Linked DNA regions of Canis lupus familiaris. The protein of the gene in region 4 interacts with the protein of the main gene of each other region in a biochemical or structural test. Links are inferred from orthologs where the notes say so. Each region holds a gene or a part of one and is shown on either strand. Other genes may lie near its edges. The genes, in order: SNAP23, STXBP5, SLC6A1 and STX1A.

The links.
Region 1: the proteins of STX1A (region 4) and SNAP23 form a complex in vitro, tested with the Homo sapiens proteins (3 studies listed by BioGRID). The link is inferred for Canis lupus familiaris from reciprocal best matches to the Homo sapiens genes STX1A and SNAP23.
Region 2: the proteins of STX1A (region 4) and STXBP5 form a complex in vitro, tested with the Homo sapiens proteins (2 studies listed by BioGRID). The link is inferred for Canis lupus familiaris from reciprocal best matches to the Homo sapiens genes STX1A and STXBP5.
Region 3: the proteins of STX1A (region 4) and SLC6A1 form a complex in vitro, tested with the Homo sapiens proteins (2 studies listed by BioGRID). The link is inferred for Canis lupus familiaris from reciprocal best matches to the Homo sapiens genes STX1A and SLC6A1.

The regions. Positions count from the first base shown.
Region 1 is NC_049251.1:9,780,219-9,787,874, reverse strand, and holds the end of SNAP23 (synaptosomal-associated protein 23), read right to left. Parts: intron 5,274-7,656; coding exon 5,115-5,273; intron 3,616-5,114; coding exon 3,471-3,615; intron 2,348-3,470; coding exon 2,282-2,347; 3' UTR 991-2,281; downstream 1-990. UniProt on the Homo sapiens protein: Essential component of the high affinity receptor for the general membrane fusion machinery and an important regulator of transport vesicle docking and fusion.
Region 2 is NC_049222.1:38,627,763-38,635,418, reverse strand, and holds part of STXBP5 (syntaxin-binding protein 5), read right to left. Parts: intron 6,246-7,656; coding exon 6,098-6,245; intron 5,890-6,097; coding exon 5,822-5,889; intron 5,548-5,821; coding exon 5,507-5,547; intron 4,464-5,506; coding exon 4,243-4,463; intron 4,051-4,242; coding exon 3,872-4,050; intron 1-3,871. UniProt on the Homo sapiens protein: Plays a regulatory role in calcium-dependent exocytosis and neurotransmitter release. Inhibits membrane fusion between transport vesicles and the plasma membrane.
Region 3 is NC_049241.1:7,414,531-7,420,969, forward strand, and holds the end of SLC6A1 (sodium- and chloride-dependent GABA transporter 1), read right to left. Parts: intron 6,120-6,439; coding exon 6,019-6,119; intron 5,284-6,018; coding exon 5,116-5,283; intron 3,410-5,115; coding exon 3,305-3,409; 3' UTR 1,015-3,304; downstream 1-1,014. UniProt on the Homo sapiens protein: Mediates transport of gamma-aminobutyric acid (GABA) together with sodium and chloride and is responsible for the reuptake of GABA from the synapse. The translocation of GABA, however, may also occur in the reverse direction leading to the release of GABA.
Region 4 is NC_049227.1:6,486,813-6,494,468, reverse strand, and holds part of STX1A (syntaxin-1A), read right to left. Parts: intron 3,775-7,656; coding exon 3,697-3,774; intron 3,538-3,696; coding exon 3,438-3,537; intron 2,719-3,437; exon of another isoform or gene 2,312-2,718; coding exon of another isoform or gene 2,171-2,311; intron 1,003-2,170; coding exon of another isoform or gene 945-1,002; intron 777-944; coding exon 702-776; intron 13-701; coding exon 1-12. UniProt on the Homo sapiens protein: Plays an essential role in hormone and neurotransmitter calcium-dependent exocytosis and endocytosis.

The DNA.
Region 1 (7,656 bases), on a different chromosome or scaffold from region 4:
CTTACACTTCTAACCAATTATATTGTGGGGGCAGCATTTTGGTATCCTACGAACTATTGTCTTTAGCCGTAACGTAAGAAAAATTTTGGGGGCGGGGCGGGGGACGCCTGGGTGGCTTAGCAGTTGAGTGCCTGCCTTCGTCTTGGGGTGTGGTCCCAGAACCCCAAGATCGAGTCCCACACTGGGCTCCCTGCATGGAGCCTGCCTCTCCCTTTGCCTGTGTCTCAGCCTCTCTCCGTGTCTCTCATGAATAAAAAAATAAAATCTTTAAAAAAAAATTTTTTAATGTTCTATGGGCATTTATGTGTACCACAATCCCCAATGTTTTATACTTTCTTCCTTTACATATACCATTACCTGCCAAACTACTGCTTTTGGCATTGAGCATTTCTTTTCTTTTTTTTTTTAAGATTTTATTTATTCATGAGACACACACAGACAGAGAGAGAGAGAGGGGCAGAGACACAGGCAGAGGGAGAAGCAGGTTCCATGCTGGGAGCCTGATATGGGACTTGATCCCAGGTCTCAAGGATCAGGCCCTGGGCTAAAGGCAACACTAAACTGCTGAGCTACCCGGGCTACTGTCCATGGCATGGAGCATTTCTATTCCAGAGGGCCTGAATGAATCTCACTCTAAATATTTTCCTCTTCAGCCTATGAAAGTCCTCATGTTAACAGTAGCTTCAGTAGATGGGTTGTAGTTGTTGCTCATAAACATCCTTTCAATCATTAGTGTATTAAAGCTCAAATGAATAAGAGACTTAGAATAATTAAAATGAACCTCATAACAAATTGTAGGAAAAGTCCTGTCAGTATTTCCAATAAAAAATGGGAAAGGTGCCAAAGACAGCTTTCCATCAGAGTGCTTCTTGATTTATGGACCTTTGCTTTATTCAATTTGTTACAAGCTAGTGAAATTATTCACCTTCCCCTGGTTCCCACCAACTAGTAAAAAAAAACCCACATTACCTATTTGAAAGAACAATTCCATTAGTTAGTTATAAAATTTAATTGTAAAGATCAAGCAGTGGTTATTGGTCAAACCAATCCACATTAATAGCTTTGAAGTATGCAGACACTAGTTCTTAAATAAGGGTGACAAATACCAAACAGATTCTTCTAACACTGTTCAAGATCTAAATAAATGTGATTCTGGACATAATTCAATCCACAAGGCTAACTGAATGATAGTGCAGTCATCAATAATTAAACCAAAGGCATAATTTTCCAAATCACTTTTTAGTTAAACAATAAATTCTAGTTTTAAAGTCTAAAGCTACAAAAAAATTCAAAGCAATCTAACTATTTTTCTACCTGAGATCAAAACAAGTTTCTTTTAGCCTATCTAAACATAATTCTTAAAAAACAAAACAAAACAAAACATAATTCTTGGCTTTGAGGTAAATCTGAATTCACGTGATATACTTTGTCAAACTTCTCCAAAAAAATTTAAGCCCTGCTTTAGAGAGAAATTCTCATGTTACACATACATATTTACATATTTTTTTTCTTCAAAGACTAATGACAAATTTATGAGGTTAACAAGCATGTAATGGGACCATGATACTAATAACGTGAAAATAAAAAGCCATTCATTTATACAAAGTGTTCCTGTAAGGTGCAATATGAAATGGGATCACTATGTACATACACAAATCACCAGAAGTTCAGCAACTAAGCTCACTTTGAAAAAATTCTATTTTTTTTGGAGCAGAGGTTACCAAGTTATGATGTATAACAAAAATATTGTGTATAAAAGCTCCGTTACCAAGGATTAGCCTAAACTGGCAATAACTGCAGCTTAAATTAAAAATTAAACCCAGCTAGATCTTTACTGTGGCTATGCAATTTTTGCTTTGTGGCATGCAAGTTTTACTGAGGTAACAACCTCTTATCTCTTGCCTCTCCTCCTTATGCTCCCCTTGCCCCCAGTTTCCTTCTTCATGGCTGTCTTTGGCAATGCTTCCAAATCTTGAAAGCAAAAGAACCTGCTAAAGTAAATGAGAAGGATGAAAAATAACACGATATAAGATGTATAAAAACCAATCTAAAACTATGAATCAAGGAAAAAAAAATATACAAGGACAGACAAGCAATAGTGTACCCTCAAAGGAAAGAGAACATTAAAAAAAAAATAGGGGATCTGTACTCCTGGCCCTTCTTGCACATTATCTCCTGATTTAGAAGAGCATGGAACCAAAACGTCAAACTCTGAAAAGGTAATGGCTTTGAAGGAGGAGCTAGAGAAGTGAATACATGATAAAGAAGTACAGCAGCAGCTTTAGCTGTCAATGAGTTTCTTTGCTCTGGCATTGGCAATATCAATACGATCTTTGTTGGTGTCAGCCTGAAAAAAAGAAAAATATATCAGCATTATGTTACAAGGTAAGCTGCTCTAATAAAAGTTAAATTTCATACACTTGGAGTAACTGACACACTGAGAAAATTCAGGAAACACAAAGTCACAAAATTCATTTTGGGCAAGAAGAAACAGAACATGAAATTCATTTGGGAAAACTGGGTATATAAACATAACAAAAATATAACAGAAGAACTTGACCGTATTTCATGAATTCTGTAACATTTTTTCATAGTTTAACTGGGATGTATGTTATAATCAATGGCATTTTTGATGCAGTGAAATTAAGAATGCTTTTTGTTACAGATTTGGACACTGGAAATCTTCCTGAACTGAATCATAGAATCTTATCTGAGACTACTCTAGGTCTAACCCAGAGAATCTGAAAGAACATTCTTCAAGATTTTTTAATAGATACATTACCACCTGCATCAATATCTGAATTTAAAAGATGGGTAATATGTAAACCCACAAGACAGCTTTGAAAGCACCTTATGAACCACTCTTTGCCTCAATGAAGTACACTGTTAAGTAATTCAACAGAACTAAGTTTAAAAACTCACCCCATCCTTTAAAGCACACTGAGGTTTTTAATGAAATAACAATAACAAGAATGGCTTTTAGGCACAACACATCCAAAAAGCGAACATAATTTCACTTTTGGTATCTTTTATATCATGTGAAGTAAAATTAAAAAAAAAAAGAAAATTCCATTTTTTCTTTACTCATAGGACCCTGTTTTGTGTGTCCACTCCACAAGAACCATTGTGTAGAACTGATTTTCACTTACTGATTTATGAGATGAGGATTTAGGAACTTACATAGCCCTCCCAAAGGTCAGAGTAGACTGTAAGCTTCATATGTGAAATTTTAAATAAAACCACTTCATTCTAAGGTCTTGCTTTCAAAATGAACCGACTGCCATGAGCAAAAGATAGGAGGACCTAGCTGTAATTTTTCAATGTGTTAGAATTGCCACCTCATCAAAAGTATAAGACCTGTACGGACAGGATCATCTCTTATTGTTCTCCCCCCAAAATATCAAGCACAGATGTACATTACTGAAAAATGGTGGGTATCTCAAATTCCTGTGGCATGAGGGAGCATTTACCTTTTCTGTGATCCGGTCTATTTTTCGATTTTGAGCCTCGATCTCATTGCCCATTTCCAGGGCCATGTTTTTTAGGTTTCCTAGGATACTGCCCACTTGAGTCAGGTTCTCTTCCATCTCATCTTCTCTAGCATCATTAGTTATACTGTCACAAAAAATACAGTAAATTCAGTACTTCTGGTAAATTATAAACAGACTAAATCTGGATTTAGTTTTTATATAAATAACCAAAATGACCTCAGCAAGCGTTAGACCCACAGCAATGCAGGTTACCATTCTTGAAAAACATCCTGTGGTAGAAACTGAAAAGAATAACCAAAGAGAACAAAATGTCTTAAAGCCGTATAGGAGAAGAAACAACTCTAGAACAATGGTTCTCAAAGAGTGATCACAATATAACCTGGGAACTTATTAGACATGAAAACATGCTAATTCTCACTCTCTACTACAGATCTACTGAATCAGAAACTGGAAGTGGATCCCAGCATTCAATGTTTAAATAAACCCCCAAGTGACTCATGCACCTTAAGTCTAAAGTATCACTGCTGTAAAACAGGCTGTAAAATTCTGGCTCAAAGGCAAAAAACTGGCATTCTACCTGATTCTGTAAATAAGGTTTTACTTAAATACAGCCATACTCATTTGCTTACGTATTATTTATTGCTGCTTTCACCATAAATCAGAGTTGAGTAGTTGGCAACAGAGACCAGGCTGCAGTCTAAAATATTTACCGTCTAGCCCTTTACTGTTATCCTTATAGGTATCTAGCCAATCCCTAACTCTAGATTTTTTTTTTTTTTTTTGGTGGGGGGGGGGGGGTGCCAGCATGGAGCCCAACACGGGGCTTGAACTCATGACCCTGAGATCAAAACCTGAGCTGCGATCAAGAGTCAGATGCCTAACTCACTGAGCCATCCCGGCACTCCTATATGATACATTATTTTTTTTATTTATGAATTTATTCATGAGAGACACAGAGAAAGAGAGAGAGGCAGAGACATAGGCAGAGGAAGAAGCAGGCTCCATGCAGGAAGCCCGATGCGGGACTTGATCCCAAGACTCCAGGATCACATCCTGGGCCAAAGGCAGTTGCTCTAATGCTGAGCCACCCAGGTATCCCATACATTATACATTTTATTTTATTTTTTTAAGATTTTATTTATTTTTAATTTTTTTTAATTTTCATTTATTTATGATAGTCACAGACTGAGAGAGAGAGAGAGAGAGAGAGAGAGGCAAAGACACAGGCAGAGGGAGAAGCAGGCTCCATGCACCGGGAGCCCGATGTGGGATTCGATCCTGGGTCTCCAGGATCGCGCCCTGGGCCAAAGACAGGCGCTAAACCGCTGCGCCACCCAGGGATCCCCATGATACATTTTAAAACACATTTTCCTATTTATAGAACTAAAACATGCTTACTTGGGTAATTTTGAAAGTACTGAAAAATATAAAGAAACATTAATCCATCAATGAAAGTCAATAACCACAGTCAACATTTTGTTAGAAGGCAGATTTTAAAATACATTTTCAAATGGAATAAACACTATTTCTGATTGATGAGTTAGGGTTCGTGTTTAACAACACCCACCCTCCTGAGCCATTCATTTAGGAAAGGGGTAAAAACATCAGGAGGAGCTGGCATACCGTTTAATGTATCCACCGCTAACTGCTCCAGTGGCTGGTTGTTGAGGCTGCCCATTTGTCACTCGGCCTGGCTGCTTAGATACTACATTGCTAGGAGAGTTGTCTTCACCATCTCCCCATGTTGCCTTGTAGGCCTTACTGGACTCAAAGTTCTTTGTCCTATATAAGAGTCAGGAGTGTAGAAAGATATGAAAAAGCAAGAGGGAAAAATTGTAATTATTAGTTCTTTTTACCTAGAGGATGACCCTAGCAACCTTAGCATAAAAGCTACCTACAGCTAGATCTAGATTAGCTATACTGTGCTCTGTTGCAATACAATATATGGAAAAAAATGAATTGTGTAAGCCCAATGACATTAAAAATTCTTTTAAAGGTTCAACTATTTCCATGAAATGTTCACTAAGTAGTTAGCAAGTAGTGAACTGCAATTATCTGATTTTCCAGGTTCCCCTAGCCTTTGACAGTCTTCAGAAAAGGAAACAGTGGAAAAAATTCCTCAGGAAAGGTGTTCCGTGATGCCTGATGAGGTTCCTGGAGAGATCTCACAAGTTGATGAGGGATGAAAGAGAAAAAAGGCTGAGTACGCAACACTCAGATCCCAGGTGCCCATTTATTTGAACCAGAGTAGATCCAGCTGATTCAGTTTTTAAAGTTAGAATTTTGCATTAAATTAAAAAACAAACATCATGAAGGAAAGGCATAAGAATTATTTCCAAATTGAACAGCCAATGATAACTATCTGAGACACTCTGGCACCAGTTATAAATTCTTTGATTTAGGGCTTCTTCATTTAAGAGTTTACTTTTCCTCCTTTTAAAAAAATGATCCTAAATCCAGACCTCTTAAAAATAAAAACATATACTTTAGGTGTAACTGATATAGACAAAACCAGAGCTTAACATAGGGATTTACCATTCAAACTGGTAATAATGGCAAGGGCGGGGGCGGGGAAGGCCTTGTGAAGCAACTTTTAAATGACTGTTACAAAAAAATAACACAAAACTTTTTTACTGATTATTTGGCTAGGTACACTTTTCACTTACACAATTTTAATTTTTTACTTTTCTATAAACAAAAAGTATATAGCTATAATATTGGTCTCTGATTTATTCCACATGTTAATGAGGAAGTTTCCAAACTACAAAAACAGAGGAAAGATTTTTATGAAAACGGTAGCTCCTTTCTTAATAGACATAAGGATTCCTTTTTAGCAAACCTATAATCAGATCTTAAACCTTAATCAGATTACAGAAAGGATATTACTACCTTTTTTTTTTATAAGAGGTACTGAAAAGGTAAATACGTCTATGAACACTGAAGAGCTAATCAAAGTGCCTTTCTTGGTTCCACTTTAAGTGCTCAAAATCAATTTCCTACTTGGGCTACTATGTTTAATTAATTAATCAATTTATTAATAAGCCATGTTAAATCTGTCTTGGAACAAGGTAGGATATACCTTTTTTAAATGAATATTTATATATAATTATCTGTTAGTTTGATGAAACCCATTTTCATGTATATAAGGTTAAGTCTCAGACAAAATTCTAAAGCAGAAGAATCCCAAGTGAATAAAATAAACAGCATATTAGTTTATCAGAAAGTTAATAACCAGATGTATTAATAGAAGTAATAGGGACGCCTGGGTGCTCAGTGGTTGAGTGTCTGCCTCTGGCTCAGGGTGTGATCCCGGAGTTCCGGAATCAAGTCCCACATTGGGCTCCTGTATTGAGCCTGCTTCTCTTCCCTCTGCCTATGTCTCTGGCTCTCTGTGTCTCTCATGACTAAATAAATAAAATCTTAAAAAAAAAAAAAGTAATGTAAATGCAGTTTTTCTAAAAAAAAAATTATTTATTTGAGAGACAGAGAGAACAGAAGGAGAGGGAGAGGAAGAAGCAGACTCCCTGCTGAGCAAAGCCCGATGTGGGGGCTTGATCCTAGGACCCAGAGATCATGACCTGAGCGAAGGCTTAACCACTCAGGTGCCCCGGTAAGTGCAGCTTTTATCAGGATGTCAGATTGTACAACAGGTGAAAGAGTGAGGGCTGGAATTCAAAAGTCACTAAATAAAAGATACTATGTTTCTGAAAGCCATAGACATAAAGAGTAGACTGGGACAGGACTTGCCAGCTCCTGGTCTATCAAGTAATATATATATGCTCCAACCTCCTTCTCAACCTTAAGAGATAAGATTTGAAATTCCTTTAAGTTTTTAGAATTCTTTCTGCTAGAATTAGTTATAGGGAGCTTAGGATGCAAATAAATTGTCTTAACATGATATTATGAATGAGTTTCAATTAAAGCATGGTCTGTGGGCAGCCCGGGTGGCTCAGCAGTTTAGCGCCGCCTTCAACCCAGGGCCTGATTCTGGAGTCCCGGGACTCCTGACCCATGTCAGGCTCCCTGTGTAGAGCCTGCTTCTCCCTCTGCTTGTGTCTCTGCCTCTCTCTCTCTCTCTCACTCTCTCTGTCTCTCATGAATAAATAAATAAAATCTTAAAAAAATAAAATAAAAAAATAAAGCATGGTTTGTGTTATAAACAAAG
Region 2 (7,656 bases), on a different chromosome or scaffold from region 4:
TCTCTCTCTCTCTCTCTCTCTGTCTCTCATGGATAAATAAAATCTTTAAAAAGAAAATTAAAAAAAGATTAAAAAATAAAATAAATAAAATAAAATAAAGTACTCTTTAAGTTGATAGTAATTTTGGTTGTAGACTCTTTCCCCAATAATTGCTGAATAGGTGCTCAAAATATATTGCTTTTGCAAACATATGCAAACTAGTAGTAGGAAACCCACAGTCAAAGATTAACAAGTGTGTAAGTTTGCTCATAGTGGAGGTATGTGTAGTAACAGTGAGAAATCAATATAGCAAGATAGGCTAGGTCCAGACTTTAAAGGGTCTTCAAAGCCTGGCTGCAAAGGTCTGATGTTGGTAGAAAGAACTGAGGGCTTTTGAAAAGCTAGAGTCTAAATTCTGGTTTTGCCATTTTCCAGATGTCTTTTTTTTTTTTTCTTTTAAAGACTTTATTTTTTTTATTCATGAGAGAGACACGCACACACACAGGCAGAGATATAGGCAGAGGGAGAAGCAGGCTCCATGAGGGAGCCCGATGCAGGACTTGATCCCAGGACTCCAGGATCATGCCCTGAGCCAAAAGCAGACACTCAACCACCGAGCCACCTAGGTGTCCTTCCAGTTGTCTTCTTATTGTCCAAATTTTAGAGTAAACATGAATCATTGAGGGTGCTCCAAAAATGAACGGAGTTACAGTCACTTCGTGCAATATCTATAAGGCAGGACACTCAGAACTGTATGCTCAATGAGCAGACGTTCTGGCTTTTCTCAGGGAAATACCACTAATCAGTGGTGGCTGTCCATCTCAAGATATAGAAATGAAAATAGAGTATTCTTCAGAATAGAAGAATCTGTGTTATTTTTTCCTTGGATAAATTAGGTAAGGTTCAAAGAAGTGTCCACCTTCTTCTAGCATATTTAACATGCACATTAGATTAGAGCAGGAACAAAAATACAGGGATAGTATCAGAAGTGCGTACATGGGGACATTTAAAACTTCAGTGATGAAGACATACAAAATTCATGGAATTCTTAATTAGTAAGAATAAACAAACAAACAAAAAATTCTTAAGCAAAAATAAGCCAGTCAAGCCTGCTGCAAAATCCCCAATAGGTAAAAAAATTAGAAATGGGATCAAGAAATAACAGGATAGGTTAGATTTACAAATGCAAAATAGGGACACTTGGGGGCTCAGCAGTTGAATGTCTGCCTTTGGCCCAGGGCATGATCACAGGATCTGGGATCCAGGATGGAGTCTCACATCAGGCTCCTTGCAGGGAGCCTGCTTCTCCCTCTGTCTGTGTCTCTGCCTCTCTCTCTCTCTCTGTGTGTCTCTCATGAATAAATAAATAAAATCTTTAAAATGCAAAATAGGGGATGGGTGGGTATAATATTTTATGTCTACAATGTTTACATGTGAATTATTTTAATATTTTAATATATGTAAATGAAGGTTTTACTTTTTAAAGACAAGGAGCTGAACGTTTATAAAAAGCTCCATAGTTTGTACAAATATATATACATTTGTGAGAGACACAGAGAGAGAGGCAGAGACACAGGCAGAGGGAGAAGCAGGCTCCATGTAGGGAGCCTAACATGGGACTTGATCCCGAGTCTCCAGGATCAGGCCCTGGACTGAACGTGGCGCTAAACTGCTGAGCCAGGCTGCCCTATACAAATAGATTTTAAATGTATGTTTGGAGACTTTGCTGTTTCAAAATGTCTGTTCGGACTGCAAAAGCCCAATTAAAATACCTAAAAACACAAAATTTTACTGGTTATAGGAATAAATTGAGTAACTAATCTTAAAATGTTTCTTCAAAGGAACAATTACATATGCAAGCATTTTGTATAAAAACAAAGTAGTAATTATTTTAATATCAATTTGATTATATTTCTGACATTTAAAAATTGGCTTTTGGGACTGTGGATGAAAACTATGTGAAGGTAATAAATAACTGCATTTACCAGAAAACTGTTCAGAAGAAAAAAAATGAGGTATAACTCAAATTGCCTGTGATTAAAAAGTCATTGGTAAATTTGTCAATTTTAGACAAAAATCTTAAAAACTTTGCCATAAAAATGTTATCAAAACAAACATCAAAGACAAATTGTACTTTACAGGCTTATAAGACTTGAACTTAACAAAGGCTGGAGAAATACACATTAAAATCAAAGAACATTAATGGAAATTTTACAAATTTAAGTTTAAAGCAAAGCAGTACTGAGTAAGTAACAACATGGAAGAATGTAGAATTCTCTGTATTTCCAATTTCATTCTAGCAAAACATGTGCCAGAACTGTAGCAAAAAGGAGGATGTGTATGTATATACTTGAGAGAGGGCCAAAAAAAAAAAAAAAAAAAAACACCCAAAAACCCTGAGACCTTTCTGAGAAATGTGGCTGCTTAACCTGAATGCTTACATTTTTTAGATCAGATCAGAGTCTCCTGTTGGCACTAGTGGCATTCTGACCTGCAAGTTCTTTGTTGCGGGGCACCGTTCTGCACGTTTGAGCATCATCCCTGACCTCTATGCACGAGATGCCAGTAGCACCCTGTTCCTACTGTTGACAACTAATAACGTCTCCAGATATTGCCAATAAAATGATGAGGAGCAAAAACATCTCTGTTTGAGAACCACTAACATAGAACACACAATCTCAAATTTATATAAACATATAGATTTTTTTTTTGAAGTCTGTAATTTTGGGGGCACCTGAGTGGCTTAGGTGGTTAAGTGTCTGCCTTTGGCTCAATCCTGATTTCAGGGTCCTGGGATCTAGCTCTGCATTGGGCTTCCTGCTCAGCAGGGAGTCTGTTTCCTCTCTCCCCCTCTGCTGCTTCCCTCTCCCTACTAGTACTCATGCTAATCTCTCAAATAAATAAATAAAAATCTTTAAAAAAAAGTCTACACCTTTTAAATGACTATGCTATAAAAAAATCTGCCCATATCTTTGGAGTCATTGCAATGCAATGCTAGTTACACAGACATTCTCCACAGCAATTCTTTACTACTCATCAAGAGAAGAAACTCCAGTAGATCTAAAATACAACCAGGACAAAACCTGGTTCTTTTAACAAATGCCAATGATCTCTCATTAGGCCTCCCTACCTTGAATCTACTAATCTGGCTTTTGCACCTCAACTCATGTACTGAATTTCTTTGACATTTTCCATAACCACTTTTTTTAGTTATTACCCCAACTGAACTTCTTTGTAAATGTAATTAATCACAGTCTTATAAAATTTTTCAGTGATCTTAACTTTTTCCTCATTCTTTTATTTCTATGTCATATTTAAGGCTCATATCCTTTAAAACATTTAACAACTCAATAATATAAGTCAGAAAAAGAAAGGATAAGAAAGTTGTACCCAATTTATTCCTGTTTAAAAAAGCAAAATGTATTCATATCCAGAATGCTACAATAAAGGCATTTAAATAATGATACTGGTGTGCTAGAGAAGATTCAGAAAGCCAAGAAAATGATTACAAAATGACTGAATCTCTAAAGACAAAAAAACCAGAACTTTCAGAGCAGTAGAAAGCAGTCTACATATATATTTGATCCACATTGAATCCAGAGTAGAAAACATCTATAGATGTGAAGATTGAGCTATATATACAGAAAAGATCCACGCTGTTCTACGGGTATGTTTACAGATCAAATCTTAGCACTTCCAAAGATAAAAATCATGGAATTCAATCATATTCCTTTTGATACCACAGAAGAATGGGTTGTATTAACCACAGCACAACCCAGAAAGAAATGTCATTTTTCTCTATCACAGGAAATTATCACTGTAATAAAGCTTGTAATTTATCTAAATTAAATTTATCTTATTTCCAAAACATCTGTATTTTTTAATAACATACTTTAAACAAGGGACATTATCACGAAGCCCATCAGATGAACTGCTACTGGTAGAAGGATGAGACTGAGGAGGAATGGGCTGAGGAGTGGCGCCCCCCACTGGTGTTGGCAAAGGCGGCGCCTGTTCGCCCTCTGGGGATTCCACATCATTTATTTCATATAACAATCTAACTTCAAGCATCTGTTGTAAAAGAAAGACAGTTCTTCTTTTAATAATTATTCATCTTATACACTTTCCACAAAAGATAGATGGCGATGTAAACACTTAAGTGTTCTTAAAAATTCTAGATAAAATTGACTTCAAATAATTTAAATAGTTCAAAAATTTTAAATGTCAGACATTTGACACTGAAAATAATTAAGAGACTATTACCGGAATGACTTCTGTTATCACTTCTTGTTTGCTGAATCTGTAAATAATGACATGAGCTGAAACTCCAGCTATACACAGCATTCTACTTTCTGGACACCAGGAGATAATCTGAATGGCATATGGATCTTCATCTACAATGTCTGTGTTTGGTCTGTCATCTTTATTTCTTGATTTTTCAAATACTTTAGATGTCTTTAGTTTATATAATACTTGCAGAGTTACTAGAAAAAAACATTTGTTAGATACTTTAATACAAAAAGAATACAAGGTAATATCTAGTCAGTCAAACTATCTAAGGAAAACAGCCTATATTTATTTGAACCATATTTTTATTTTCAGGTCTATATTTCTCAATTACACTTTTAGATAATGCAATCACTGTACCTATTGACCAAAAAAAAAAAAAAAAAAAAAAAGGTGTACTATTAAAAACAAAACAAAAAACACATGATAATGAATTAGATAACCTGAAAAAAGACAAATAGATTTTGCAAAAAAAAGTATAAATATAATGAAAATAATAAAGAACATAATTGCTTTCTAAAATGATTTTCTACATATTTTCTCTGTAAAAGGTACTAATAAATATTATCTCACACTTCTATATGATGAAACACAAAAGATCACAAGTTAACTAGATTCTCACTGTTTGCTATATATATTTGGCAAACACTGATGATTCAAACCATTCTTTCCTTTTTTGATATTGTGTAAGCACTATATATATATATATTCTGCCAAGAAAGCACAAATTACTGTTAGTATAAAATCAGGCATTAGGGGGTGCCTGGGTGGCTCAGCGGGTGAGCGTCTCCCTTTGGCTCAGGGCATGATCCTGGAGTTCAGGGATCGAATCCCATGTCATGCTTCCTGCGGGGAGCCTGCTTCTCCCTCTACCTGTGTCTCTACCTCTCTCTCTGTGTCTCTCATGAAAAAACAAATCTTAAAATAAAAACCCAGGCATTAAAATTATTCTACAAATTTCTGTTGATTTGAAATATATTCCCATTTTCATCTCTGATTTAAGGAAATTTTGAAGACAGAATTTGATTACTTTTGTTGAGAATCATTATTGATTTACTGGTTAATATCCTTAAAAATATCTTAAACATCTATTAGAAATTCTAAACTATACTTGATAAATCAGGTATTAAACTCATAGCTCCCACATTTTAAATTAAATATTGGTTATGCAATTATAAAACATGTTGTATATGTTACAGTGATTGTGTAACATATAACAAATAATATTCAAATTACTTACTTGCAGAAGCATCCCAGAACTTAACTGATCCATCAGCATGCCTATGAAAAGCAAATGAGTTAAAATTGTGAAGAAAAAAAGAAAAAAAAAACCCTACATATTTTTCTTTCTTTGAAGTATACTGTTATGTGAAAAGACAGCAACCAAAATAAAGCAGCATAAAATTCAGGGTAAACTGGCAGGTTCCAGACAACAACATTTCTTAATAAGTTACAGCATAAAGGAAAGCATTACCTGCCCAATTAATTAATATTCATGTAGTCTTAATTATATCTAGCTATTAGAGATTTAGTGGTGAAACAGGATTTTACTTACCCTGTAATAATTATTTCTGGGTAACTTTGAACACCCAAGCCCCAATTACCTCCATTAATGGGCCATTCCTATAAAAAAAAATTATTGTATAAAGCAACTTCCAAGCATACATCTTCATATATATTTCTATGACAACAGTAAAAAACATATTTTGCTTCAAAAAGGGATTTTCTATATACTTTCTCTAAAAAAGATATCAATGTTATAAAATACTCCACGGTGATACATATAAATTACTGAAATGTAACATTAATTACTAAAACTCATGTTCTATACCTTTTTGCTGTAACCTTGACGTTTCTGTCTGGCTCCAACAGAATAAAGTGCAGGAATAAGGTCCCCAGGACAACCAGCAAAATATTCGCAACATGTAACAGGTGATTCATGTATACTCAAAGGGTATGGATTTTCAAATATAGGATATCTTTAACAACAGGAAAAGAGAAATATTTATTAATTTAATAAAATTAAAACGAAAATGAGAACCTAAAAAAATACTTACAGCTTTGGAATGAAAACATTTTTTAAACTTTGATTAATTTAAAGATAATAGCCTCTGAAGATCCATATAACATATTACCTGAATTTACATTTTAACTTTGGGGATACAATGCTCTTCTCTGTATTTTTGGAAACTACAAAAATACATTCTACCAGAGATTTAACAGATTTCATTCATGTAACTATGTAAAAAAAAAAAAAAAAAAAAAAGGCATCTTTTATAATGCAAGTTGCTCAGTTAGAACAATAAATAGAAAAGCTGCAGTTGGAACTCTGTACCATGTGGCACATACTGGCCTGAGTGCTTTATATGTACATTTATCTTATTTGCTTTTTGCACCAAACATAAGATGTAGACATTTTACGGAAGAACAAACAGAGTAATGTGCCAAAGGCATGCCAGCTAGCTAGAATTTAACTTGTGCACTTTAGCATTAAGGTATAAAGTTCTCAATCAATAGATCTTAGATCTTTATGTCAGTAGAGCTAATACAAATTTTCAATTCTCCTTTTTTCCCCATCAATGTAATGCCTGGTACAACATTTAATATAGAGATGCTCGGGGCAGCCGGGGTGGCTCAGCGGTTTAGCGCCGCCTTCAGCTCAGTGCCTGATCCTGAAGACCCGGGATCGAGTCCCATGTCGGGCTCCCCACATGGAGCCTGCTTCTCCCTCTGCCTGTGTCTCTGCCTCTCTCTCTCTCTCTCTCTCTCTCTCTCTGTGTGTCTCTCATGAATAAATAAATAAATAAAATCTTTAAAAAATAATAATAATATAGAGATGCTCTCTTGTTTCGGTGATAATAAAATTCTACCTTAAAGGCTTTCTAGATATGAAATTATTTCATTAAATAAAGCAAAAAATGCTTTCAAAAATTTTAATTTTAAAGTAAAACCCTTACTACATATGCAATGATATTCTTTTCTGGTTTGAATTCCTTGAGAATGATTACTTAAAAATATCTGGAAAACCAGAATATGGCGTAAAAACTCTAAAAAGTTCAGAGTGGCACATCTGCAAAAATTAGATGTATTTATCAGTCTACTATTGACAATCATTTAAAAATCAGAGAAGAATATTTTCAGAAAAGTCCTTTCTAGATTTCAAAATGAACCAAACTGTTGTAACTCCTTCCTCAACCACATAAAAACACAAGGAAAAACTCAACAAAAATATGAATTAAAAACATGGCAGGTAACTTTGTTCTCTTTATAACAACACTTTATAATCCTTAAGCTCAACGATTCTATTATTATACATTTAATTGATGCATTTGATAAATAAAATGCCTAGTCACAGGTTATTTGCACAGTATTTTAACTTACATATATATC
Region 3 (6,439 bases), on a different chromosome or scaffold from region 4:
GTTGCAGGATCCAGTGCAAACGGCAAACACAGGACCCCTTGTTCAGCAAGTGAGGAAGAAGTGCTGATAAAGGTACTGAAATATAAGGCTTTTCTTTCCTTCCACGGTCTTTCTCTCGGTTGGTCACGGCATTTTTAAATTTGCTGTTTAATGTCGTTCTAAGTAAAGGAAAATTTAAAATCTAAATCTTCACCATACATTTTATTGTTCACCTGTATACTATGCAAATGCCAATATAGGAGCACGTACTTCTTATGTGAATTACACAATATGCGTTTCAAAAATGGAATACATGCACGTGTATTCTGTTCTCTCCCCAACAGAAGAGACGTGCACAAGACTGAGTTGTTTCGATTTCACTTCTTGAGACGTGCACATTTTGCCAATACTCACTACTTCCACTTACTGATGCTCGGGGAAAGTATGGGGTTCGGTAGCTTTCCCTTTCCTTCTATGCCATCATTTTCAGTGTGAGTGGTTGGCTAGAAGGGGGAAGCAGGAAAGCACAGGCTAGGGGTCCTTGGGTGCTGAGCATTTCTTCGAGCGCCACTGCCTTTTTCTGCACTGGAAGCAGGTTCTCGTTTGAACAGAGTTGTGACCTCTCAGAGCCCTGCTTCACAGTGAAAACATCTCCTTTATGTAGCTCAGAGTTGTTTTTTTTATTTACTCATTCCAGGACTTTTGGCAAACTCAAGCTGTATCTTGCTGTTTTTTTTTTTATGAGATTTTATTTATGTATTCATGAGAGACACAGAGAGAGGCAGAGACACAGGCAGAGGGAGAAGCAGGCTCCATGCAGGGAGCCCGATGTGGGACTCGATCCCGGGACCCTGGGATCATGATCTGAGCCAAAGGCAGACGCTCAACCACTGAGCCACCCAGGCGTCCCTCTTGCTGGGTATTTGAGCCCAAATCTCTCTCTCTCTTGGGGAAAAAATGGTTCTGTGTGTATGCAGTGTTGTTCCAATGAAAGAAGCTATTGTGCCCCCAGCTCAAAGAATTGAAGGTCTGACATTGTATATCATAGAACCTTTATTATTTTTCCTCTAAATTCTTAGAAACGTACATAACGCCCGTGCTCTAGTTATGACACCATTTATAGACATTTAAAATGCATCTTCATTTATAAATATTTTACATTTGGTCCATAGAACAGATAATTTTTCTAAATAATACTGTAATTTTTTTAAAACAGGCTCTGTATATAGTTTGAATATGTATATATTACATATATTTTTTTATATAGAGATAGATTTACTTGGTGTTCTGAGAATAAACCCTTATTGCAAAAAAAGCATATATGATAATACAATATCTTTTCCCCCAGGGCAAATACTAAAAAAAGGTACACATATTCACAGTTCTCACTGGAATTGTACGACACGTAATATTGTGCTCTATAAGTAGGTTTGGATGGAAATCAGTTAGGGGATTTCTTGCCAAACATCTCAATTAGATTTGCATACAAACATTAAGTACACTGTATTTGTCTTAGAAAGACTCGGCCTTAGTTTCACATTGAAGAACAAAGAGAAAGTCAGAAGTTTTCCTGCCCTTAATCTAAAGGAATTCACACAGGATGGGGGGGTGGGACCATGAGACACAGTGAAGGGTTCCTTTCATTCTAAACCCTATAATTTAACAACACATATGCATTTTGATCATGGATTCACCAGTTGGCATTTGGGATGCCTTAGCAATGAGACTATTTTACAGATGACCTCAGGAAAAGGTTTGAGATTTCCTAAACGATACCAGATAAGACCCTATATACCACACGGGAGGATGAATGTATATGTGTGTGCCTTTATATGTGTACATGTACTTTTTGTTTCTCTACAAGAATGTGCTTAATATTCTGAGGGTAATACCTTATTGCAAGAACGGGTATGCTGGTCACTGTCGGATGAGAATGACAAGAGATTAAAAAACCCACAGTCACAGTTATTTACCATAATTATTAAGGATTAGTTGTAAAACACAGTTTGTGAGCTAACTAGCTAAGGAGCTACGGGACACAACATACGATTTGCTACATGGGAACCCATCTTCCTGGCAAATGAGAAACGCTGAGTCACTGGAGCTTGCAAGAAACTGTCTTTGCCTGATGTGCCGCCGCCGCCACCACCACCACCACCACCACCACCACCACCACGGAGCCCAGTTCCGGAAAGAAACAAATACTACCTCTCAATGAAGCAGTTTAATCTTGGAAGCACTTTGAGGGGTGGGGGCGTGGGGGTGGTCTGGATTAACACTAGCTCCTCAGTTAGTAGCTGGGGAGATTCAGTGGCAGTGAGGGGATTCCCGCTGAGGAATATGAACGAAGAAGGCAGCATTTTTGACTGGGGCGGCAGTGAGGACACAGCTGAAGGGGGAGCTGGAAAGATAACTGCATCCATTTTGACTCAAGGACAGAGAAACCTTCACCTTGATTTCCTCCGCACCTGATTTGTGCTCCACGAAACGGGGCAAGCCTAAGAAAAACTGGGGCTTCTGATTAGGGAATTTCCCCAGCGGAATCTTAGGTCCCCCAGAATGGCAATAAAAAAAAAATCAATTGTGCTTGTGGCAGTTTTCCAAGGACGGAGTGAGGGAGCTGGGCCGTCTGGAATGATGGCTCTTGGGCCAGGTGCAGTCAGCATGGCCTGGCTAGGAGGGGGCGGGGAGGATGCTCTGCAGATTGCTGGAGACACAGCTCAGCTGGCAGCTTGGGGTGGGGGGACACTGATGGATGTCCTTGGGGGTGCTTTTGTCAAGCTGCCTCGGGAAGGATAAACAAAAAAATGAAAGTAAGAGCTCCGCTGGCTCCCTGCTACTGAAGGGTGAGCTCTCCCTGGAAATCCCCATTATACAAAATGCCCTTTGCGTGTGTACAGAGCAGCGTTCCGACGGAACCAAACTCCGGCAAAGTCCGAGAGTAAGAGTCATGGGTTTCGGCAGTAAGAGAACAGTCAGGAATATGACTAAAAGCCCCGAGTGTGTGAGCCTCACTGCACCACACTCACTGGCAGGATAAAAATGATCTACTGCACAGTCACGAAGGCTGATTGCTTGATGCTTATGGGGCCCGGATTCAAAAGGTCACCAGCCTGCAGGTGCTGGAGCCATCGGGTATCTTTGCCCACGGCGGGGCCCACCGGGGGTGTGACTGTCCCCCACCTCCCCTCTCTTTGCATGGTGATGGTGTCTGGACTCGCCACTCGAGGTAGGTTGAGATCGATGGTATCTTCAGACATCAAGTGGTGGTCATGTTCAGCCAGGTTGGGGGGTGAGTGTCGGGTCGGCAAGCCGCCAGACACCCCTAGATGTAGGCCTCTTTGCTGGCTGAGCCACTGGCCTGGGGCTGCTCCGGACCGTTCTCTGGGCGAACGATGTCTTCGCTGGGCTGGATCATGACCTGGATGCGCTGTGGGCACCAGGGAGAATTTGGGCTGGGAGGAGGAAGACTGGCCTCTCCGTTCCCCCACCCTCTTTTCAAGTCAGGAAGGCCTGCTCTGCCTTCAAAACGCACCCAGACTCTGGCCTCGTCCCCACATCCTCTGTACTCTCTGGCCTCCTCGCTGCTCCTCACATGCCAAACACATACCTGCCCAGGGCCTTTGCACTTGCTGTGCCCTGTGTCTGATCCATCCTTCCTTTCAGATCATGACACAGTTCGATCTCTACCTCCTAGGTCTTGGCTCCATGTTACCTTCCCAGCAGGGCCTCACTCAGCACTCCCTTTCTACTCTGTCTCCATAGTCATTCCTATCTAACATGTTTTTAGTTTGCTATTGCTGGTCTTCCTCTACTAGAATGTAAGCCCCATGAGGGTGGGATTTTTGCCTATTTTTTCTCACAGCTGTGTCTCTAGCACTGACAACACTGTCTGGCACACAGTAGGTGTTCAATACAGATTTCCTGAATGGATGAATCTCCCACTACCTTCTCTACACATACTCCCTGAAATCCTGTCACTTCAGATAATGCACCGTGTCTTCAGATGTGCCCACTCCTGGGCCTTTGCACAGGCTGTGTACCCCTCGTCAAATGCACTGCGTTTGCCTCTCTCTCACTCCAAGACCTGACTGCCTTTCACAGCTCCAGGGTTGTGGAAAATGAAAGCATTGGGCCTGGATTTGAAGAAAGGGCTGCAAGCCTCCGCTCTCCTAATAACTTACTATAAGGGGTAGGGAAGTGATTTCTCGCTTGACCTCAGTTTCTCTGTAAAAGGAGGAGGCTGGTCCAAGAGCCTCCCTTACACTGTCTTCCTTAGACCACAGACCACAGAGCTCCCTCTTCTGGTTCTGATTAGTCTGGAAGGTCCATCTTAGTAGAAATAAGGTTGAGAACCATTGATCCCGGGGCCTCCCAGCCGTGGCCCTCTGTATCTGATTATTCACCCCTCCTCAGGGAAATCTTCTCAGCTTACCTTAATCCATCAATGTCTCTAGCACCTGGGTACCTCCAGCACTGCCTTGTTTCACTTGAGAATTTGATATAACTTAACAAAGAGCTAGTGTGGACCTAGAATGTGCTGGCAGGCACATCTCCTTGAGGGTAAGACCACATTTTGTCTTTATAAAGCTCACAAAAGAGATCTAGAGTAAGTCCGCAGTACAACTGACCCCACCCTTCGCCTGCTTCAAACTCTTGAGGCGTTCCATTACCCTCAAGATAAAGTCCAAAGTTCTTGTCTTAATTTTGAAAGCCTTTCATGATCTGGCCTTTCTTACATCCCCAACCTCTTCTCTTATCACCCCCTCTGCATCCTTCTCCATTCTACCCTCCAGCCACAATGATCTCCCTTCAGTTCGCCAAATGCTGTTTATACCCCCGGGCCTTTGCGCATGCTTCCCATCCACCTTTCTTGGAACATTCTTTCTGCTTCTACTCTTAACTCTGACTCATCCTTAGGCCTCTTCTTAGCTATCCCCTCTTTTAAGAAGCCGTCTTTAACCCTCCTCAATCCAGGCGGGGCTTGCCCATCTCCCCAGTATGATTGGCACATGTTGGCACTTCCAACATTCTGCTATCATTGGAAATGGAGTTGTCTGTTTCCTAACTAGACTGTGATCTCCACAAGGGTAGGGGAAAGGGACTAGCAATCTGAAGGGTGAAGAAGGGACTTACCTGCTTCAGGGAGCCCTTTAAGGTAAGGAACATGTAGGCCATGTACCCAGGGATGAGGACCATGGAAGACAGAGCCATGAGCCAGCCCACACCCTGGCCCCACTTGGGGAAAACGTAGTTTCCCATGGTGAGAGGAGTCATCTGCACAGCACTGAAAATGAACACACCCTGCGGATGGTGGAGGAGAGGGAATGGGACACAGTTAGTCACCCAGATTGGACAACCAAGGCCCCTTCCCAGACCCTGAAGCTGAGAGATCCACTGACCACCTCCCTTGCCATGAGGCAGACCCTCACAAGGGCCCAGCATGTGGGAATCCTGCACCGAAGGCCACTGCTCCTACATAAGACATCTCTGTACAGGATAGAGAAAGGGACCCCCCCCCCCCCCCCCCGGGGAGGATCAGTAGCAAAAGGCATCCGTTCCTCCAAGTTAATCAGCTTGGCAAGCCAGAGTGCAGGACACGACCAATCCAGTGGTCTAGCCCCCACCCCAAGGACCTGGGGCGGCCACCCCAGGGCTGCTTAGGCCTCAGCTTCCTCCTGCGTGAGGGAATAAAGGATGCTGAGGATGAGAAGCCTTCCTGAGCCCATGGCTGGGGCTTCAGAATCAGGCCTGCCTGGTTTGAATGCAGCACCAACTAGCCGGGTGATGCTGGCAGGGTGAACCCGGGTCCCTCAGCAGCAAAGTGAAGGCAAGAATGCCTATTTTGCTGAGGTTTGCGAGGACTATGTAATGTGTCTGGTGCTGTATAGGGCACAAAGTAGAGGCTCAGCAAATGGGATGTAGTAGTATTTTTAGGAAATAGGTGCCTCTGCTTCCAGAAATTTCTCTTTGGACCTGAGTCGCCCCAGGGCCTGGTCTGGTCTCATCCTAATGGGGCTGGTCAAGACTTGTCCTTACCGCTACAATGATTGGGGTGAAGAAAGACCAGCAGAGTTTCCACCAGATGCAGGGCCTGGAGCCAACCATCTCTTGGATGTTGTCATAGAATCGGTTGACACCTGTGACATTCGGAGTGAGAGCAGGAGGTATGAATGAGTTGTGGGGACTGCAGGCTCAAAGTCTCAGTCTGCCACTTTCTTAGAGTAATGACCATAGGCAAGTCGCCTGACCTCTAGGAGCTTGAGCCTCTTTGTAACATAGGGCTAACACTCTAGGGGGGGCCTCCCTATCTAATCATTCAATAACCCCCAGCAGGTGGATTATGTCAGGAAGAAAGCCAGGCACCTACATGTGAAAATGTCCACCAACAAAGGGATATGCTTATAAAGCATGTCCTCACCTCTCTCAAAGTCCCTCCCACCCAACAGGTAGCCTGGCA
Region 4 (7,656 bases):
TCTGCTCGATGCCTGGAGGCATGGAGGGCTGCTGAGCCATACCTGTCCCCTCACCAATGTCCCCTCCCCATCCCCATCCCCAGCCAGGATCTGGCTCGGGACCTCCCCAGGAGAGGGTCTAGTGTGCACTGTGAGGGGGTCTGTGGGCAGCAGGGGGAAGCAGGAGCGCCAGGCACTGATGGGGGCCGACACGCACAGGCATCTGCAAGGCCTCGGCACACAGCAAGCTGTGCGTGTGAGTGCTTGCTTGTGTGAGGCTGGGCAGCTCAGGCCCACCATGCCTTCTGCTCAGGAATCCCATGTGCCCAACGAGGGCCCACACCCAGTAGGGTCAGTCTAGTGGCCCCGATCTGCAGGAGCTCTGCACCTGTGCTCACACAAACACACCAGGGCTTCCAGGCAGGACCAGGCAGTGCTGACCGCCCCCTGAACCCCCTCTTGCTGAAGTGAGGGACAATTGCCCGGGGCGGGGGGGGGCACTCCCTCACTGAAGCCTCAGGCATCTGTCCCAAGGCACGGCCCGAGCCTGGCCCCAGACAAGCCTTGCCAGGAAGCAGCTGTGAGTGGGCACATGACGGCACCCACAAAAAGGAGACCAAGACCTAATGTACCCGAGAGTCAGCAAGACCCCAGGGCCACGCAGGGAAGCGGGCCCAGAGTGCCCCTCTACTGCCCAGACAAGGCCTGGAGCTTAGACTCACTCTTTAACTTGGAGCGAACTTTGTTTGCTGTCTTCTTGATGTCAGACATGAGCTCCTCCAGTTCCTCCTTTGTCTCTGGGGAGGGAGAAGGGGGACAGGGTAAACCCGGGGCTCCCCCTGTGACCTGATGCTCAGGCTCAGCCCGCGGGCAGGCCCAGGTCCCAAGCCTTCCCCTTTCCGCGGGCTAAGGCTCTGCCTGCCCCTCCAGCCCTGGGCCTGGGGCCACAGGAGCTGCAGCCTCACCCCCTCTTGTGCTGCTTCCGAGGAGCCTCCTTTCCTCCTTCTCTGGCTCTCCCACCCCCTGCGGATAACAGACGGGTCTAAATTTAAGGCAGAAATAATTGTGGAGCAGCTGGCAATGCTGGCATTGGCACTGGGGAACATTTACTTGATGCTTGCCTGAGTCGGATGGGGGGGGGGGGGTGCGGGCTTACCTAGAGTTACCTGGTAGCTCTGGGGGGATGAGCATCCAGCCACCAGGGTGACAGAGCCAGGGGCCAGGGAGGCTGAAGTGGGTCCCCCTCCACTGAGCACCTTGGGTGGGGTAGACCCTATTCTATGCAGAGTCACTGCTCCCCCTTTCCAGGTGCTGAGCTCAATGGAGACCAACTGCCGAGTACCAGTGGGTGGATGGGGGCATGAGGCACCTGGCCTGTGTGGGAGTTGATGGAAAAGAACCTCAGGGATGTGGGCCCCCTGGCACACAGGTGGCCCTGGAGCAGCAGGTGGCTGGTCCTGTGACGGCAAAGCTGGGGGATGGCCACAGCCTAGTGTTTCTGGCCCTTGTTCCAGCTGAACTGTCTCTCTAAAGCTGGCGGAGGCCGTGGGGGTACCCAGCTTGCTCCACCCCAGTGAGGGGTTAGCTGGCCAAATGGGACAAGGTGGCTGCCTCCCTCAGCAACCTGCCCCAGCTCAGGGCAACCCCAGGACTCTGCTTCCCGGAAGAAACCAGGACTGAGCTCTTGCTCGGCCTTTCTTACCCACCATCTGCTTTCCTCTGGGGCTGGCCCTCTCCTAGAGGGTGTTGGAAGGGCATTTACAGCAGTTACTTTGGGTGGGCACCTACTAAATGGATTGGGAGGTGGGGGGCTTCGAGGAGCGGAGGAAGGCGCTTCATTCGTACAAACAAAGGAAACTTACCAGCTGCTCTGACGTCTCTGCCTCTTTTGCTCAGATCCAAAATAGCCCAACCCGGATGGCGGCCCCCAGGGAAGGCAGAGCAGGCCTCGGCCGGGAGAGCCCCCTGCTTGCTGCCACCTTTCCCGGTGACTCCTTGTTAACTGCTCCCTCTGCTCTAGAACCGGTACCGGGGAGCCCCCTCCCTACATCAGTGACCACCGGCTGGTCCTGACTCACGGTGGCAAATCTGAACTAGCTGCTACTGACCGTACGACGCGAGGAGACTTTGTGCGGAAGGTGGCACGAGGCAGCTAAGATAAATGAACAGGCATCTGTTGCCCTGTGCTCACCCCGTCTTCCAGCAGGTGAATGCCCTCGCTCTTTATAGGACTCTGTTCCCACAGGTAGCCCCTTCTGACTCTCATCAGGAGGGACACACACGAACTCAGACACACATGCACATAAAGACATAAGATGTCACATGCTGCCATCCCCAACAAATGTCTGGGGGCAGGGGCAACGCGTGATGGACACCCTGAATGTGTGCTCTGCCTTGGGTAGCCCCTCTCTCCTTCCCACGCATTCCAAGGACAGTCTCCCGGCTCCCTGCGGACTCATTTTGTTTTCCAGGGGCCTGGCACTGCACCTGCTTAGCTTGGCACTGGCCTCAGGTTCAAACACACTTTAGGGGCTGTGGAGAGATTTCTTGTGGGGGCTTGAGGGTGCCAGTGGACTGGGGCTGAGGGGCCACAGATAGGAAGGCCCTGCTGGAGAAACCCATCCCTGAGTGCTTCCCCTGGCCCTCCCATGGCTAGGACCCTCCCCCTTGCATTGTTGGGGCTCCGTGAGCTGGTGTCTTCCAGAGGCGCTGGAGCAGCGAGAGGAGGTGAGCAAGCAGAAGCAGTGCGCACTTGCCCAGGTTATGGGCCTGGGCCCCCAGCGCTGTCACTGACTCCCCCAGGCTGGGAGGAAGGAATCTCAGGCCTGTATGCTGTCAGCCTGGCACAGGGCAGTGTAGTCATCAACACCTCCCCAGGAATTGGGACAGCAGGGTCAGGGGGACCTGTGTGGGGACAGAGTGGAACGCAGACACACAGAGGCTCCCTGTGCGGAAGGAGAAAGGTGACTTCCTGGAGCCCTGAGAATGCCCAGCTCTGGGGTACCAGGGCCAGGTGCCAGGGCTGCTAGCTCTTTCTGGAAGCTCCTCCTGCTTGGCCGGCCTGCCCTCCCACGGTGCTGAGGCTCAGCGCTGCCATCTGCTCCCCCGGGGAGGCTCAGGAAAGGGAGGGGCTGGGCGGAGAGGCTTCCTTTTGAGCTGGGCAGCACCCACCCACCCGGCTTACCTGGAGAGGGCAGGGCTGGCCCGAGGACGGCCGCCCCACTCACACAAACCTGTGTGAGACCCAGGTCCAACAGGGGATCCCAGGCACTAACCCCCACCCCGGGCCTCGGCCAGCTGTGTTCCCCAAAGCTTTCCATGAGGGCCAGGCCCAGGTACCCCTCAGGCGACACACAGCGTGGGTGCTGGGGTTCTAGGAAGCCACCCTCCCCTGCCCCCCCGCCACAGCAGCGCCTTCTAGGAGGCCTGAAAGCCACCCCTCAGTCCTACACACTCACTCTCGTCAGGGTTGGGGGAGGCCAGGATGGCGCTGTGCTTCCGTTTCACCTCCTCCACGTTCTCTGAGATCTTGTCAATGAAGCCTCGGATCTCCTCCACCTGCACACCAAGGCCAGCCGGTCAGGAGGAGATCCAGCTGGAGGCCCGTGGGCCCTGGGCAGAGGCTGGACCAGGCTTCGGGTGGGGTGGGGGTGAGACATGGGCCCCCCACCAAGGTCTGCCAGAGTATTCGAGGATGTGGGGTGTGCTGGTTCCCACCTGTTCAAAGAACTCATCCATGAAGCCATCCCGGTCCACAGTGACAGTGACATCGTCATCATCATCGCTGTCCTTGGCCTGCACAGGGGTGTGTACACGTGAGCAAAACTCTGGTAGGCCCACAGGGTCCTGCTGGACCTGGGACCATAAACTACCCAGCATCCACATACTGCAGGCTTGCAGGCTCAGGTCCAGGGCCCTCACTGCTGCCCTGTGTCCTCTTAGCAGGGATGAGGTCTGGCTGTGCCCTCAGCTCCCAGCCACAGCGAGACCTCAAGGACCCCAGGGGACCCAGCATAAAGACAGAAGCCCTGCCTGCCGAGCTGGTGATGGGGAAAGTCTCTACCTCTAGGCCAGGGACTCCTTCCCTGGCCCAGCTGCCTGCCCCCTCCCCACAGGACTGGGGTCCTCCCAGCATGGCTCTCACCCAAGGGGACAGCTGGGAAGGCTTGGTTCCCTGGCTAGGGGCCCCAACTCACAGACCTTGCCTGAGACAGGCTGCCTGGACACCAGCCTTTTCTACTTTCTGGTCCTGAAGCTTTTTTTTTTTTTTTTAATATTTTATTTATTCATGAGAGACACAGAGACAGAGGCTGAGACACAGACAGAGGGAGAAGCTGGCTCCCTGCAGGGTGCCCTATATGGGACTCGATCCCAGGAACCCAGGATCATGCTCCAAGCCAAAAGCAAATGCTCAACCACTGAGCCACCCAGGTGTCCCTGGTCCCAAAGGTTTTAATTGGGATGGGGCTCAAAGTTCCCAAGCTCCCTTTGGTGGGGGGGTATGTCAGGAGTGAGAGGCCTGAGTGCCACCCACACCTGCCTCCAAAGAGGTGGGATGCTGACACAAGGGCCATCCCATTGCACCTCAAGCAGGCCTGAGAGATACTGCCTGCATGCAGCCTGTGTGTGTGCAGCTCTGCAAACTCAGCTCTCCCCCCGTCATTTTTGTTTTTTAATTTTTATTTATTTATTTATTCACAAGAGACACAGAAAGAAAGAGAGGCAGAGACACAGGTAGAGAGAGAAGCAGACTCCCTGCAGGGAACCCCATGCAGGACTCCATCCCGCAACTCCAGGATCATGCCCTGAGCCGAAGGCAGACACTCAACCACTGAGCCATCCAGGCATCCCTTCCTCCGTCATTTTTTTTTTTTAATTTTTATTTTATTTTTTTATGATAGTCACAGAGAGAGAGAGAGAGGCAGAGACACAGGCAGAGGGAGAAGCAGGCTCCATGCACCGGGAGCCCGACGTGGGATTCCGAGTCTCCAAGATTGCGCCCTGGGCCAAAGGCAGGCGCTAAACCGCTGAGCCACCCAGGGATGCCTTCCTCCGTCATTCTTGACCTCAGACCTCAATTCTCTGTCCCGCCAGGCCCAGAGCTGGGCCCTGACCAGCCTGAGAGGCCAGTCTTCACCTGGCTCAGGGCCTGCCCTAGGCCCCACCCCACCACCCAGGGAGAAGCCGGACAAAAGCCACCCCCATCCGGGGGCAGAGTAATCACAACACCTCCAACTTCCCAATGTGCTGGCCAAGCTCATCCCCCGTCAGCCTCACCCTCACCTGCTTGGAGTCGCGGCTGTGAGCAGCCCACCATGCTGAAAGGGCAGGGGCCAGGGTCCCAAGGGTGGGACTGTTCCCCTCAGACTGGGGTGATGAGACTTGGTCACACCCCTTCCTGTCTCAGCACCCAGGGGGAGGTCACCTGAGCAGGCTGGGCACCAGCCTTCACCTGGATCTCTCTTATGTCAGGGTCAGAGCCCAAAATAGGGCCCGACGGAGGCCAAGGGACCTGGCAGGCTGCTGGGGAGGGACAGGTTCTGTGCCCCGCGCAGACAGCGGCTGGCTGAGGGACCTGCCCCTGGGTCTGTCTGCTGCTGGCAGCGGTGGGGACAGTGACTCCTGGCTGCAGAAGGCTAAGACGGAGTGGGAAGGCACAGCATGGTCTGTAAAGGGCTGTGCCCCTGGGGCTCTCAGGGTCCCACTGCCCCACCAGAGTGGGACCAGACAGGAGAGGGGGTTGGCTGGGAGCTTTATGGAGGCGGCTCTGACAGGCCCCTCTCATCAAGAGATCACACCTCCTCCCCCAGCAGCTAAAATAAATCCTCGCTCCCACAAGTGCCTGTGGCTGCTACCAGGTGGCCCCCTCCCCCCAGCCAGGCCCACCTATAGACAAAGAGACTCTAGAGGCCATTTCCACACTTTTGAACGTTGCCAGGCACAGGAGCTAAGCTGGAGGAGGACTTGTTAGAGAAACTGAGGCAGAGTACAGTCTGGAGGAGCCCAGGGCCCCCTCTGGGGCAGCCTGCTAGCCTTCAGCAGGTTGCCCTCTCTGTCTTTTTGGGGTCTAAACAAAGATAGGGATGGACAGGAAAGGACAGAAGGAGAATTTTCCAGCTCTCCTCCCAGAAAGAGTAATGACCGGCTAGAGCCAAAGACAAGGGCATCAGAGTTTCCAGAGACGAGAGCCGTTGCCAGAGACCCCTGGGATCTGGCCTGGAGTCTCTCCCTGGGCCTCGGCTTGGCTGTCTGTAAAACAAGGACATACGTTCTCCAGCAACCAGCAGCTCCAACCTGCTCCCTGCACAGACTTCTCAGAAAACTGAGGCTGGAGTCAGGGAGTTTCTGGGAAGTCAGGGAATGGCAGGAAAGATGCCCACGGTCTCCTCCAGGACCTCTGGCAATGAAGGCAGAGCCGAGGAAGGGGACCCCTGGGCCAGGGCCTGACTGGGGCTCCCAGGTCAGGATCCACCCCGAAGGTACCATTCAGATTGATCCCAAAGTCAACTGGAGGGTTTAGGGCCTGACTTAGAGCCTCGGTCACACCAGTGGTGACTCCAAGCAAAACTTTGAGGGGATTCTCCGTGAGGACCCTTTCCTTACCAAGTCCTAGCACTTCTTCCTCCTCAGGACTTTTTACCCACTGCCCCCCTGCCCCCCATCACCTCACTGCCACAGCCTGAACCTGGACCCTGGCACACCCCACCTATACCCATCTCCCTGCCGCTACAACCTACCTGCTGACATTCCCCTCATCCTTAGATGCCACTTCCTCCCAGAAGCCTTCCCCAGCTGCCCCAGATCAGTCTCTTGCTCCTCCGGTTTCCCACACACTATTCACATCTCTCCTGACACGACAGCCACAGACTCTCAGGCCCTAAGGGACCTGAAAAGTCACCTTGGCCTCAGCTGCCAGCCTCAGCTTGCACACCCCCTGTGATGGAGAGCTCACTGCTTTCCTGGGCAGATCTGCCCACCCTGGCCTGCCTCGATTGTCCCTTTCCTGTGGCATGGCCCCACGCCATAAAGAACCTGTTGGTACCCTCTCCCTGGGATCTGAAGGCAATGTCCACACTTTCCCTGGGTTTTTCTTCTCAAGTTGACCATTCCCTTTCCCTCAGATCCCTCTCAGGGCCCTAAGTTGCAGCCCCTACCCCAGACTCATTTGGTCCAACCTCTATCATGATAGAGTTTGTACATGATACAAACTGAATCTACTGTTGGTTGTGCTCTAAATTGTACCAAAAAGCTGGCCATCCCCTCCCTCTTTTTACATGGTTTACCTCTGTTAATGCAACCAGAGATCAATAAAATTGATCATGTAGTACTTCCTGTCCAGAAAAGCCCCAAGCCCTTCCCCACCAATGTCTACTTGGCTGGATTTTAGGCTCAAGCTAAGGACCTTCTTTCCTGTTTAATGTCTTCATTTGTTCTGATCCTTGTTGGGCTTTGTGAGACTCTGATGGCTCATGACTCTGTTGCCCCCTGCAACCTCATCCACATCTAGGCCAGAGCCCTATGGCACCTTTCTAGAGACATCCTCAAGGTTAAGTAAGACCCCAATCAGGTTTCACTGGACACTAAGGAAATGACAAACCCCAAGCCCAGATGCACTCCTGACCCAAAAGGAAGGAGGAACTAGGCTGGCATGCCATCTCCTAATGTCCTGGGATGGTC